Linked DNA regions of Kluyveromyces lactis. The protein of the gene in region 1 binds, or shares a complex with, the protein of each later gene. Links are inferred from orthologs where the notes say so. Each region holds a gene or a part of one and is shown on either strand. Other genes may lie near its edges.

What was found. Proteins that work in one complex are often made in the same cells at the same time.
Region 2: VPS53 (region 1) and VPS52 share a complex: the UniProt entries of both Saccharomyces cerevisiae proteins name them as parts of the golgi-associated retrograde protein (GARP) complex. The link is inferred for Kluyveromyces lactis from reciprocal best matches to the Saccharomyces cerevisiae genes VPS53 and VPS52.

What each region holds. Positions count from the first base shown.
Region 1 is NC_006040.1:791,517-801,163, forward strand, and holds VPS53 (Vps53p), read left to right. Parts: upstream 1-3,508; coding exon 3,509-5,920; downstream 5,921-9,647. Other genes in the region: KLLA0_D09328g (serine/threonine-protein kinase), read right to left, coding at 1-189; chaperonin-containing T-complex subunit CCT8, read right to left, coding at 889-2,580; KLLA0_D09416g (uncharacterized protein), read left to right, coding at 6,227-6,820; spindle checkpoint protein MAD2, read right to left, coding at 6,938-7,528; Rab geranylgeranyltransferase BET4, read left to right, coding at 7,717-7,719, 7,809-8,789; CTK2 (Ctk2p), read right to left, coding at 8,822-9,647. UniProt on the Saccharomyces cerevisiae protein: Involved in retrograde transport from early and late endosomes to late Golgi by linking the vesicle through the t-SNARE TGL1 to the Golgi, leading to the membrane fusion between late Golgi and endosomal vesicles.
Region 2 is NC_006039.1:335,708-341,004, reverse strand, and holds VPS52 (Vps52p), read left to right. Parts: upstream 1-1,669; coding exon 1,670-3,454; downstream 3,455-5,297. Other genes in the region: RFC4 (replication factor C subunit 4), read left to right, coding at 398-1,360; HMI1 (ATP-dependent 3'-5' DNA helicase), read left to right, coding at 3,716-5,297. UniProt on the Saccharomyces cerevisiae protein: Involved in retrograde transport from early and late endosomes to late Golgi by linking the vesicle through the t-SNARE TGL1 to the Golgi, leading to the membrane fusion between late Golgi and endosomal vesicles.

The DNA.
Region 1 (9,647 bases):
TCGTTGCCTTTGTTTCTCCAACAACAAATCTAGAGAGTCTGTTGACGAAGTATTGGACATGGGGAACTCTTCTCGATGCATCGAGCCAAAAATACTGCTTTTTCGTCTGGGATTAGCAGGTTTGTGCATTTTACTTTCATCCATTAGTTGCCAACGAATATCTGGCGGCAGATCAATTTCTTCCACCATAACTTGATGAATTGCCAAATCAAATCAGCTTATTGAAAGTACTGATCTAATAACGGGATAGATACTGACTACCCACAGAAGGAATACGATTTATATTCAGTTGAGTCCCAACTGTAATAATCGACTATTATTATTATTATTATTATAATAAAAAAAATTAAGGATCAGGTCAAAAAAATCAGTACCGACTCTTTTAGCTTTGTCTTATATCTAAGCAATACGCCCGGATAAGCACTTTGTTCCTCAATCGATATACTTGTTAATTTCTGGTTCTCCTATTCTTTCTCGGGTCCAGACCCGCATCGTATATTTTTCTTTCGCTAATCGCTAACGTAGCTTCAAATCGTTGAAAAGTTTTGGTTTTTGTCCTTAAAAGTTGTCATCGATATTTCTGTGAAAAGGAACAGTAATTTTGGAAAAATGGAATCAGAACTGTGTGAAAAATAATTTAATTTTACATTGACACATATATGGAAAGGATGGTAAGATATATAATTAATATCACGTGATTTAGAGGATGTCTAAGAGCAACCATAAGAATGAAATATATAATGATATGCGGTATTGATACCGTTTTCAAGACAGTTACAGGTATAGCTGTGAGTATTAAAATTATATCTGAATTTTTTATTTGTGGTAGGGGAATTAGTGTACAGAAGAGAGAACAATTATGCGCTTCCAAGAGGACAGATGTTCGAATCAATCATCTTGGTCCCAGTTACCTGGTTTTGGACCCTTTGGTACGGCTGGACCACCAGCTCTCTTGGCCATGATGATCTGGTCAACTGAAAGTACTGTCTTCGCAGCCTCTGTGGCGACATCGATAGCGAACTTCTTAGCAGCTAGTAAATCATAAATGCCTTCATCTCTGATATCTTTGATGCATTCCGGGGTATTGTTGTCTATATCAATACCTTGGTACAAACCATCGTTGATTTCGTTTGACGCAGTTTTTTGAGAGTGGGCAGCATATAAGTTTGGTAGTACTTCATTAACGTTTAGACCTGCAGTTTCTGCCAACGTTCTTGGTACCACTTCGAATGCAACGGCAAACTGTTTGATGGCAAGTTGCATTAGACCTGGCGTCTTTTCACCATAGTTGCTGATTCTTGATACCAACTCTATTTCAGTAGCACCGGCACCTGGAACAAGTTTTCCACCATCCTGTTTCATTAAACCCTTAATTGCATTGACACCGTCATCAATGGCACGTTCGATATCGTCCAAGTTATTTTGCGTAGCACCTCTTAAGATGATTGTGGCAGTCCTAGTGTTTTCGTTCTCCTCTTGTTTGAAAATGGTAACTCTATCACCACCAATTTCTTTCGTCTTTACGGTCTCAACAATACCAATTTCTTCTGGAGTTGGGGCACCTAGCCTTGGCATTGGTGTAGCACCACACACACGGCAAATTCTTCTAAGTTCGAATTTACTTGGCACCTTTAGGACGAGAATATTGTATCTGTTCAAATAATGTAAAGCAAGCTCACCAACACCGGCACCAGCAACAACACATCTAACACCAGTCTCGGCAATTTCTTTCATCATTTGGTCCAGTTGTTGTTCTTCACCTTTAGTGAAATCTAACATCTCCTGAGCATTATGTAAAAGCACAGTACCCTTGGTTTCGGTGTTTGAGATATCAATTGGACATGTAAACACAGCAACCTTATGCTTTTCACCTTGAGGCAAGGACTTCAAATGTCCTTCTGGTTCGCGGTTGAAGACTAAACCCTTGATAACAGATGAGTTGGTAAGGGAACCACCCATAATCTTTACCACTCTAATTGAGTCGACATTGAAATAGTTGGAATTTGGTAGCAAGACATGTGCCACAGCGTCTGATACTAAGGAACTTAAAATATCTTCAGAACCATATTGCTTGGATGCAATGACTGGCTTGATGACCTTGATTAACTCACTTTTTTCATGTTTGTTCTTGATATCCAACACAGACATCTTGTCAAGTTCTGCCAAAGTAAAATTCTTTGCCATTGTGTAACCTTGAATAATTTCTACAGGTGAAAGACCTAGCGCAATAAGCTTTTCACTAACATTCAAAAGCTCACCAGCCAACACCATAACAAGGTTAGTACCATCACCCATATCAATTTTTTGTTGTTCAGATGCCATCACCAACACTTTAACAGCAGGATGGACAATCTCTAATTCCCTTAGCATGGTAGCAGCATCGTTGGTCACAATGTGCTTTCCCAAATGATTAATGATGATCTTGTTTCTGCCGCATGGCCCCATAGAAGTTAAACACATCTGGTGAATCTCTCTAATGGCAGCGATCGATTTATTGATTTGACCATCAGCATTAGAGTACGAATTGTACCCTTGCTTGAACAATCCCGCATTAGGATTTTGAGGAAGTTTCAAAGACATGCTGCTTTTCAAGGATTTGTGAATTATCTGCTTTCCTTCCAAGGTATAGCTTTTCCACGTACAAGTTTCGTCTTCGCCACCTTTGTTCACGCACTGTTTTCTATATTTCAACTATGTTGTTAAAAGATACTTTAGCATTTTTTTTTTTCAGTATTGAGAGATATGCAGAAAATATGGGAATGCTTTAGCCAATAGTTACTAGGGACAAAGTGTCTGAATAAGGCATGTGTACATGTGTGTTTCTGGAGATCTGAAAGTACTATCATCTTACTCTAAAGAATAGGTATGTAGCTGGGTGATGGATGCATCCACGTCAACATCCTAGGAATAATCATAGCAGAATAGAGTTATGTATCTTAAAACTTCGCTGATCCTGGCAAATCAAACCATTTCAATATATAGCTCAGGAAGGCACTTACTCTGTTGTTCTGCCATATGCAAAACATATGTTTGTAAGAGCAGCATCGTTGGCTACACACTGTAACTCGTTGAGCAATAATATATTATGCAGTGCGAAGATTACATCGTTCTGGTATATGTACAGTGTCAATGAAGCTACTCAAAGGAATTGCTTCAGTAGCTCAGTCGGAAGAGCGTCAGTCTCATAATCTGAAGGTCGAGAGTTCGAACCTCCCCTGGAGCATTATTTTTTTCATAGTTAAAGGGTTTGGAACTGTCAATTCACCTTTTAAAGACTTTGTATTTTTTTTCGATATTTCTGATATCAGACTTTCATAGTAATTATTGCATACAGAAACAAATATAACAAGAACCTTTGTTGTATCATCAGTAAATGACAAAAAGAGCCAGCAATTGTAAGTTGCAGAGGTATAATTCTCCCTTCTCTATCCAGCTCCTCCCCATTATTGTTTCCTGTATTAGTATCACGCACATTAATTTGAATTGAATAACTAGAACTTAACAAGTAATGATTTCAGAATCTTTGGAATACGATCCCTTACACGATCTTCAACAGATATTCTCGAAGCAGGAATCTTTATCAGATATTGATAACCTAGTGCTATTAACCGAAAAATGTAAATTTAATTTAGAGGAGCGGGTACGAGAAAGCAATAACACCAGTTCAGAAGTCAATAGTTTAGAAGACAATTATGATTTCCACAAGTTGTTTGAGAAGATAAATTCAACGAAGTCTCTGTCACAGATTACTGAAGCAACCATATCCGACTTGACACATGATATTTCAGATTTGGATAACGCTAAGAGGAATATAACGAGATCGATGACGTGCTTTGAAAATTTGAAGATCTTGAGTGATGCATACGTGAACTCTAAAAAGTACATGCAAGCTGAAAAATACATTGAAATGTGCGGCCCCTTTAAAGTTATGCATTCCTTATCTGTATCTTTCCACGAATATAAATCTTTGGATGAGTTTTGTAAGTTTCTAAATCAAATTCATCGTTTAGAGAGTGATACACTATTGGTGTGTGAGAGAGTAACGAAAGAAGTGCTTAGGGATGGGTCTAACAGTAAATATGACAGCAAAACGATGAAAGACGGTATATGTTGCCTTGCGGACACTAATAAGCATTATAAAGAAAGGATTGTGCAATTGTGTTTGGATTCTCTATTGTATGAAATTAAAGAAATCTTCCAAATTGATGATGAAGCTGGTTCTTTGGAGAATTTGTCTAGACGTTACATCTTCTTCAAAAAAGTATTAAATAATTTCCAGTCTACTTTCAGCGAATATTTCCCATCAGAATGGGAGATACCTTTGAAACTAACGGATTCTTTCTTCACAATGACGTCTAACGATTTGAAAACATTATTGAAGAGAGATTTGTCCGGTACCACCTCCATTGACCTATTCATGCAATCGTTACAAACTACCTTAGAGTTTGAAAAATACATATCAGTGAAGTTTTCCCATATATACGAGGGTAAAATATCCACTTGCTTTGAGCCATATTTGAAATTATGGGTTAGACACCAAGATTCATCTTTGAACGCCAAGATGTTGACATATCTTAATGAGACCAAGCTCCCAGCTAAAAATGAATCGCTTGTCGTTCCATCCAGTGCAGACTTGTTTAGAACTTATAGACACATTCTTTCTCAAACTTTCAGCTTGATAGAAGGCGGTAATAAATCGACCATAATGGTGGAATTGGCGGTTTTCTTCGTCAAATGGTTGAATGAATATTATGAAAAGATTTTGAAACCATTGTTGTTACCTGAGGATACACAAATCGATGATAAGAATGAAGTAGTGAAATATACCGTTCTTCTTGTCAATACAGCAGACTATTGCGCAAATACAATTGATCAATTGCAAGATAAACTCTGTGAATATCTTGAGAATGATGAGCCAAATATCAACAAAGTTGCAGCCATTTTTGAACCTACAAGGCAAAAATACATGGATCTCGTATCGGGTGGTATCAATTTACTACTAAATCGCATCCTGAAGAAAGATTTGGAATTTGTATGGAGGGAGTTCACAAACACAAATTGGGCTAATACAATGGTGGAAGATTACAGCAGATATGTGACTACCTTACAGAGTATCCTCCTACCAACAAGATCGGAAAATTCAACATTTTACTCCACTGTTTCTCAATTCAATAGAGATCTTTATGGTTGGAATTTTATTGATAAAACTATTGATTTAATAGCTATCTCTTTTGAATCTCAAATTATAAAGCTCTTGAAACCAGCTTTACCATATGGCACTCTTAATTCGAAAAGACAGTTCGATGTGAAGCAAGTGATAAATATCGCAGAACAATTATTGTTAGACGTTCAACTATTGAAGACAACGTTGCATTCACTTCCGGAAAGTTTACCGCAACATGACACATCAGCTAAAAGAGTCACGAAACACATAGATAGTAATGTGGAAAAACTAATGCATCTTTTAAAGTTACTTGTCTCTCCTATTGACCCTGATACAACATACTTGGAAACCTATTATGCAATAACCGCAAGTCAGAATACAAACTCAAATTTCTGGGCATTTATACTAGCGCTAAAAGGTGTACCTTGGGATTTGGCACTTTGGAAAAGAGTATGGTCAGAATTTCAACAATCAGATGATGATACTCAACCGATGAAACCAGATGACCTTATTTTCAACCCTAGAGAACTACAAAACTTTATTTACAATCTATCGAGGGTATCAGATCCATCATGGAAAACATTTTTGGAGGAAGACCTCAAGATTAAACCTGTTCCACGTCCTGATTTATCCGTAGCTATACAGTCCTCCCCTAGTCCACCCACTGGGTCTCCATCCCCTAAGATTCCTGGACATAAATTGAATGAGATAAAAAACCTTATGTCAAACTCCAGTTTTTTTTTCAAGAAGGGCTAACTGCTTCTGTAGAGAAGCTTCCACACGCAGTTTGACCAACGAAACAGCAACACTACTTGTAATACTACCTTTACCTCTGTAGCAGATTTATCAGTTTAAATAGGCTTTTTTTAACATTTTCGAGGCATGTCAATGCGTCAAGTCAAAATGACACAGAAAACTCGAAGATATTATTTACTTATGAATATTAAGATATATCAGTTAACCTGAGCACTTACAATATATCTGATTATATGACAAAATGTGCCGCACAAGTTGGTTCGGCTATCGACTTTATTTTGAAATCAGACCTGGTATCCTCATGCAATGATTCCATTCTTCTACATAATGATTTTTTTCACTATAGCTGAAAGCACGCTTACAGATGCTGAGTTTAAGGAAATTGATATGTTTATAGATGTTGTTGGTGAATCACATTTTGCTCTGATGTTTCCTGTGGAATTGATCAGAACCGATTTGAATGATACGTTTGACCCAAAACAAGTTTACGATATTTTTGATGAATTAGCTGAAGAGCGCAAAGAGTTTCAAATAGTAAAAGAACTTGATATACCTGAGTTTGTGGCCGAACCGCTTTATGATAGGCTGACATATCTCTCAGTCAAATTGGATAATGGATACACCGTAAATCTAGCAAATGAAATAGCAATAATTCAGGATATAATCCAAATAGCAGCAGAGTCAGACAACATTAAACTCGATTTTACTGCTCTTCTTAGAGTTAAAGAAGAGTTGAGGGTTGATATGGCAGCCGTGTCAAAATTAAAGTTGTTCAAAACGTGCTTATTGTCCAACCTTTTCCCATTTATGCAGGAAGAATGCGAAGGACTCTTAAGACAAAAGCTAATTGAACATCTCAAGATTTGGATAGAAGTTTGGAAAAGACACCAAGATGATTGAATTAGTATGAGCTTTCTCGAGTTGAATTAAGTATTATGTGCCTTTTCTACTATATCTTGTTCCTATTTGTAGCATAAGTATTAAAAGGAAATGCAATAAGTTCAGCCATTAATTTTGTTAGAACTTATAAGTGACTTCAGCTCCCACTGAATAGGCCGATGTACCGAAAGACTTGAATTGCACAGATTCCCCCTTCGCTATTTCTTTTGAATCAGAATCTGTCCATTCTAGTGGAACATTCGCATTACTATCAGTATAGGCCAAAACATTGAAAGTATAGTTACCTTCATTTTTCAATTCGGGCAAGAAAGTGACACTGGCTGTTATCTGTCTAAGTACTGCCCGAATCTCCTTTTGGGTTTCCTCTAATGGAATGTTCATATCATCATCAGTATCGTTCTTGTTGCTGTGAGAATCTACGTTAAACTTCCATCTTTCAATTGTTTCACCATCATCCTTATCTACTATACACAGAACAAGCTGGTGACATTTACCTCCCAATAACCACCTATGAACCTGCCGGAGAATTTCCCGTATGTATTGTTTAAGTTCTGTATCTTGTGTTTTTAATAAGCTCAAATCATACTTCTTAACTGTAGCGAAGTCTTCTGCCGGGTATACTGCTCGTTGATATAATATTGAATTTATACTATATTCAAAGAACTCAGTAACAATTCGTGTCGAACCTTTTAATGATATCAAATCCATGTTTCCAATTTTACTTTCCAGTCTCTTCTGAATCCTTGTTCGTCGAAGCAAGTTCAAAAAACATATGTTATTGAGCTCATTTTAAACTACTATTTTTTATAATTAACATTCAAACTTATAAGTTATGATTATGATGAACAGCAAATCAGAACGTTAAACTCAATTCCACAGAGACTCGAGGACAAATAATGGTATGGCAGACCTCGGCACTCTTTTCAAAGAAGATTCTCATAATATACAATTGCAGATTACTAACATTTACAAATTGAAATGAATTCAGCATGGTGTTACACGAAGAGAGTGGACAAAGGAGTTATTAAGGAAGAAGCGCGAGAAGGAGAGACAGGAAATCCTCGATTATCGAGAATTATCAGATGAGGTTTTAGAATTGAAGAATAAAAGAGTAGCAAACAAGGACTCTCTTCTGAAGACTACCCAGTTACTTAATATCAATCCAGAATTCAACACCATCTGGAATTATAGACGTGAAATTATAAAACTACTTGCCCCATCACTGGATCAAACTTTCTGGGATGGGGAACTTGCTTTCACTATGGACAAATTGAAGGTTCGTCCAAAAGTATACTGGATATGGAATCACAGGGTTTGGTGTTTAGAGCATTATCCTAATTCTCCCTTGAAAATCTGGTTGAAAGAATTAGCCATTGTTGGCAAATTACTGGAAATGGATGCGAGAAATTTCCATGGATGGCATTACAGAAGATACATCGTAAGCACAGTAGAACGCTTAAGCGGAAACTGTCTAAATTCACAAGAGTTTGAATACACAACCGCGAAAATAAATCAAAATATCTCTAACTTTAGCGCGTGGTTCCAACGAACGAATATAATTGAACATATGCTGGCGAGAGATCAAATAGCTGACAAAGAGTCCTTCATCGACGATGAATTTCAGTACATAAAGAATGCCATGTTCACTGATGCTGAAGATCAATCTGTCTGGACGTATCTGATCTGGTTTATTAAAGAGAGTGCACTAAAAGAGCATATGACGTCAGAAAAGTATAGCAGTATGCTAAAAGAACTAACCGAGATCATTGAACTTATAAACGATGATGATATTAGTTTCTCTGGAAAGGATAATATTTGGTGTCTAAAGACACTACTTGTGATTGAGTTCATTCAAAAAGATATCCTCAAGGAAGATATAAAATCAAAATCTAGAGAATATCTTGATAAGTTGATAATTATCGATCCCTTGAGGAAAAATAGGTATTTATACCAAATAAGAGCTCTATGAAATGATTGTATTATTACATGAATATGAAGATCTCATTCAACCTCACTGATAGATCTTTTTTTGGTAGATATCGATTCTTCTTGAAGAGAGTTCTGGTTCAAAACATATCTTCTTTCTTTCACAGCAAAGTTCCGTTCCTTTGACACGTAATCGTCTTTATCTAATGCTATTGGATCAACCTTTAGTCCCTGCTCAGGGCCAGCGGTCTTTTTTATTTCAATGAATGTTTCAATCTTTAGGTTTAAAGATTTGACAGTTTCATGGTCTTTTAAATCACATGCATCGAAGACATTGATATAAAAATTTAGAATATCGAAATACGCTTCATGAAAAGAAGCCGCATCCGTTTCAAATAAATTATATCGAACATTGGGCCATTTTGTTTCATTAAGTAGTTCACATGCAAGTTTCAATACCGCCAATGCTATGGTATGAGGTGGGACGGTAATGAGCAATTCGAGTTTTAATACATCGAAGGCTATAAGCCATGCCAGTCGACAACAGCTGTAAGGTAATGAGAGTTCACGGCCAATTTTGACTATAAACTCATCTATGTGCACTTCGTTGTTGACTCTGTAATCAAAGGAGCAAGTTTCTAATACTCGTAGCTCCATTTGCATCACTCTCTTTTTAAAAGCATCAACCATATCCGGCGTTACACGAGGTACATTACGAATCTTTAATGCCGTACTGCACACCTCCCCTAATCTCTTAAACGTTTCAACCTGTTTACAACTTAAAAATAAACAACTCGTTCCAACATCATAACACATTTCGGTCTCGAATTTATTGAATGCATGATATCTGTGATAAAAGTACATTGTCGCTTCCAAAACTTTCCTTGGTAATTTGAGGTGA
Region 2 (5,297 bases), on another chromosome or scaffold:
TTCTGCATTTTTCATGTTGATAAAGTTTGAAAGTCACGTGGGTTTTATGTCACTGGATAATCGCTTCCTGTTTCGCGATTAACACAACGATTCGAATTATATCAATCCCGAGAGCGTGACACCATATTAACGTGCCAAAATTGATACTAGTAAGTATGTCCAAGCGCCTGATTGTACTTCTTCTCTTCTTGTTTTTTTTTTGGTTTATCAACATGTATTTATATCTAAATCTTTGAAACTTTGAAATGTAGAGAGCATTTAATTCACAGAGCCAAATGAAAATAATGGTTCTGTCGAGGTTGAAAAGAAAATACATAACTCTGGGTCACTATCAATTGACCGATTAATAACTATAACAGGGGGTTCAGATCAGTTCTTAGAAGATTGATTTTGAAAGATGTCCTACGCTACCAAGTTGGAATTACCATGGGTTGAAAAATACAGACCGCATTTATTGAAAGATATTGTAGGGAATGAGGATACGGTGCAACGGCTACAAACCATCGCTGCTGATGGTAATATGCCTCACATGATTATCAGTGGCCTACCAGGTATTGGTAAAACAACTTCGATACACTGTTTGGCACATGAGCTATTAGGTGATGCGTATTCACAGGCTGTATTGGAGTTGAATGCGTCTGATGACAGAGGTATCGAAGTCGTCAGAAATCAGATAAAGCATTTTGCCCAAAAGAAGTGCACGCTACCAGCAGGTAAGCATAAGATTATCATTTTGGATGAGGCAGATTCAATGACCAGTGGTGCTCAGCAGGCTTTGAGAAGAACAATGGAGTTATACTCTAATACGACGAGATTTGCTTTTGCATGTAACCAATCTAATAAGATAATTGAACCTTTACAATCTCGTTGTGCAATACTACGTTACTCGAAACTAACTGATGAACAGGTTCTCAAAAGATTATTGGAAATTATAAAGCTGGAAGATGTTCAATACACGAATGATGGTCTCGAAGCTATTATCTTCACTGCCGAAGGTGACATGAGACAGGCAATAAACAATTTACAAAGTACAGTTGCTGGTTTCGGTTTAGTAAATGGGGAGAACGTTTTCCAAATTGTTGATTCCCCGCATCCACTAATAGTCAAGAGAATGCTATTATCTGGATCTCTCGATGAATCGCTGCAATATTTAAAAGAACTTTGGGTTAAAGGCTACTCTGCGGTAGATATAGTGATAACTTGTTTCAGAGTAATGAAAAATCTCGATGAAGTTAAGGAAACGGTTAGATTGGAGATGATCAAGGAAATCGGCTTTACACATATGAGAATTCTTGAAGGTGTCGGGACTCATCTTCAACTATCAGGTATGTTAGCTAAAATTCAAAAGCTTAAATCGTAAATAGACTATTACCACATAATTAACATCCAAAAAGTAATCATAATGATTGTAAATATTTAAATGACCCAAAGTTTTCAAGCTTGGGGACCTATAGAAAGCATATAATTAAACTACTCCCCCGTTCGCTCACCGTCAGCATTTCGTTTTCCTGATGTGTGTGTGTATTACAACTTTCAGAAAAAATACGAAAAGCCTGAAATATATCAAAAAGAACATCGACTACACCGCAAAGAATACAGTTGGAAAAGAAAGATACTTCAAATTGTATTACACTCTGTTCGTGACAGAAAACCATATATTGAAATTATAATGGATGTTTTAAGCGATCTGTTAGAATTAGATGCAACTGAACTTCAACTGCCAGAGGATTCTCCATCAGGTAAAGATGATAACATTGATACTTACCGAGCCTACGTTGACTCGACCCTAAAAAAAGAATATCAATTACATACTGAATTCCTCAAGGAATTTGATGATCTCATGGAAAAGAACCAATCAATACGTACCTCTACTGAGACACTTATACCGAGTTTGAAAAATTACTTTGCCGAATTTAACAACAAGTTGAACGATTTGACTAAAGATCTCGATTTCGTTAAGGGTAAATTTTCTGAGTTTTCATCGTTACTGAAGAGTAACTCTTCGAAGTTGAAAGACATAAGTCCCATCGTTAATGATTTGATAATCTCTCCTGAAATAATATATCAAGTGTTAAGAGGCAAGATTGATCAAAAATGGATTGATTGTATTGATTATTTGAACGATAAACAAGAGATATTCCTGAAGTATCAAGAAGAAAATAAATCAGAGAGACCAAATGATTTCGAACAGTTGAATGAAATCTTACAAATACTAAAGGCAGTTTCTGCAGAAAGAGCTAAAAAATATATTGTGATAAGAATTAAGAGACTGAGGGACGGACATCCTGTGCCAGCGCAAAGAATTCAAGAGGAACTACTTCAGGTCAGAGAAATCTATCAAATGATCTACAATACCAAGTCGGACATAGCTACAGAATTACGAGAAGCATATATTAATACGATGAAATGGTATTATAAGACATATTTTGCAAGATATATTAGATCTTTGACAATTTTACAGTACGTCCAGATAGATTCTCAATACGCATTAGGACAAGGTCTTTCAAATACATCGGTTTCAGGATCTTATTCTAATTATCTTTATGCCAGTGGAAGAACGCTCTTTGGCGCACAAACTGCTTCCCACTTTAATGTCACTGATGACAGCATTAACGACTATTTCCAAATATCAAAACGGTTGGATCTTATCACGCAAGAAGATAGGACAGTTATGGTATCGCAAATTGCAGAGAATAATCCAATTGCCAATTACATCGAAGTTGGATTTAAAAATTTAAACTTGGCATTATTAGATAATTGCACTGCAGAATTTATGTTTTTGAATGAATTCTTCAGATTACCAACTGATAAAGGTGATCTAATACGAACCATTCTTCTGGATATCTTCCAGCCAACTTTTGATAATGCTATGGACTTCACGCATCAATTAATTGATACATCATTCGATATATTTGGTGTCTTAATCAGCATTAGAGTTGCACATAGACTACAATTCGAAGCGCAACATCGTCAAATCCCGTGCATTGATGATTATCTTGATGGTCAGTTGATTCTTCTATGGCCAAAATTTCAGAAACTTGTGGATTTCCAGTGTGAACAATTAAGATCTGTTTCAATAACAACCAACGTTGCCCGTGTTAGAGGTGCTGGAACCGCTTCAGACCCGTTAGTAACGCCTCACGAACTCACGGTACAGTTTTCCAAATTTCTTCTCAGTTTATTGAAACTATCGTTAACCCACAAGGAACTTTTAGATGAAAGGGCAGAACCGTTGTTCCACTCGATAAATAGAATTCGTGATGATTTCGAAACAATAATGACAAAATGCAGCAAAAAGACTAAAAACGCTGATAATTTCCTAACCACAAATTATATGTATATCTACAACGCCCTTCAACAATCGTTCCTCAGAACAGATTCTGAAAAGGAACCACTCATCCTCTCACAAACGAAAACTCATCTTTCACAGCTACTAGAAGCATATAGTAAGTAAATATATATATATATATGTATACGAACAACCATTACAGTATCTCGTTACGAATAACACATTCAATCTTCGATTTATTTAGTTGTGCCGTTTCTCGTTTATTTTAAAAACGTCAATAAACATAAACAGTTTCTACTTTATTTTCGGTTCCATATATATGCTAATTTGAGATGACCGAAACAGAATAGCTATATGAACGTCGAGTGACGAGGAAATCCATTGGGCTGATCCACTCAACATAGAGTGTAGTCTGTGGTCAATCGTATGATGAAAAGGCCAACTGATTCGCAGAATGAAATTATCCAATTCCCTTATATACCTGCTAGCACTCTGAAAGTTATTGCAGGACCCGGTTCAGGTAAGACATATACATTGCTATGCAAAGTTCGAGAGTTGATCCAAACGGGGCAGGTGAAACCCCGTGAAATTATTATTCTATCTTTGACTAATAAAGCAGTTGATAATATTACAGATAATCTTCTAGGCGTCTTTCAGGAATTAAGCGATAAACCGTACACTGACCATGAAGTTGATGACATTGTTTCCCAAATTGGTATTTACACGATCCATGGCCTCTCGAACAGGATAGTTACTGAAAATATGGGTATTGTGAACATAATCGAGGAAAACGGTTGGAGAGGTCTAGTCAAGCTCATTCCAAAAGATTTTTGGAATAAGAGAAATGTTAATACTGCTAATGACCGGATCATTACGAAGAAGCTTCAGAAACTTATAAATGAATACCAAATTGACACAGATAATATTGATGAGACCATTGAAAAAGTAACAAAGTTAATGAAGCATTCAAATGTTTTGACTAACGATGATTTAATCAAAATGGCTGTGGAATTCTTAAAAGAGCCGAATTCAGAAGAGGATACTGCATTCACCAAATTTGTACTAAATGAAGCCAAAGTTTTAATTATTGACGAATTCCAAGACTTATATCCAGGTATATTTAAACTATTAAAGACATTACTTGGTCAAAAACACTTTTTAATATTTGGAGATATCAATCAAAGCATTTATGAGTTTTTGGGAAGTAACAAAGAAGTCATGTCTGAATTGGACAGGTTAAGACCTGATGATAAAAAATTCACTAAGTACATCCATGACAATTTCCGTAGTACACCAGAAATAACTGCTGCAGCCAATGCTGTTATAAACCAAACCGTTCCTGTTCAGATTAAAAGAGAAAATATAGTAGAAAAACATCCTTCCGGAGTTTACCCCATCAAATACAATTGCGAAGAATTAATAGATGAATTGGACTTCATTGTGAGTGAAATATGTCAGCTAGTTTGTTCTTCTGCAAAACTATCTGACATTGGCATTTTAGCAAGGACCAATTCTCATTCAAAGGCGATTGCTGACCACCTTTCAACATTCGGAATTCCCGTTTCAAAATTAACAACGCAGCCAGATTGGATGTCAGATCAGCGGATAAGATTCATGATTGATTTACTTCAAGTCGCTGTTTCGGTCATAGAAGAAGCTACACTGCCTAAAGACGCGTCTTTCACCATGAAAACTAAAAGTAATTTCAGTGTTATTGTTACTTTAGCAGCTTTAAAAGGATTTGGTAGTAACACCCTTCAGAAATTACATGAAAATGCCACAGCCACAGGTGCATCAATCTGGCATTTTCTAACAAATACACCTGTTTCAAAGTGGGGGTTTACTCCGGCAGTTACAAAAAAACTCGAAAACTACTTGCTAGCAGTATCAACATTAATCAACGATCCTCCTATTTTGGAAGTTGAACAGCCGCACATCTTAATAGATAACTGCTCATCTGTGATTTCAAAGTTAGATCTACCGTTATTCATGTGTGACAGTAACTCTG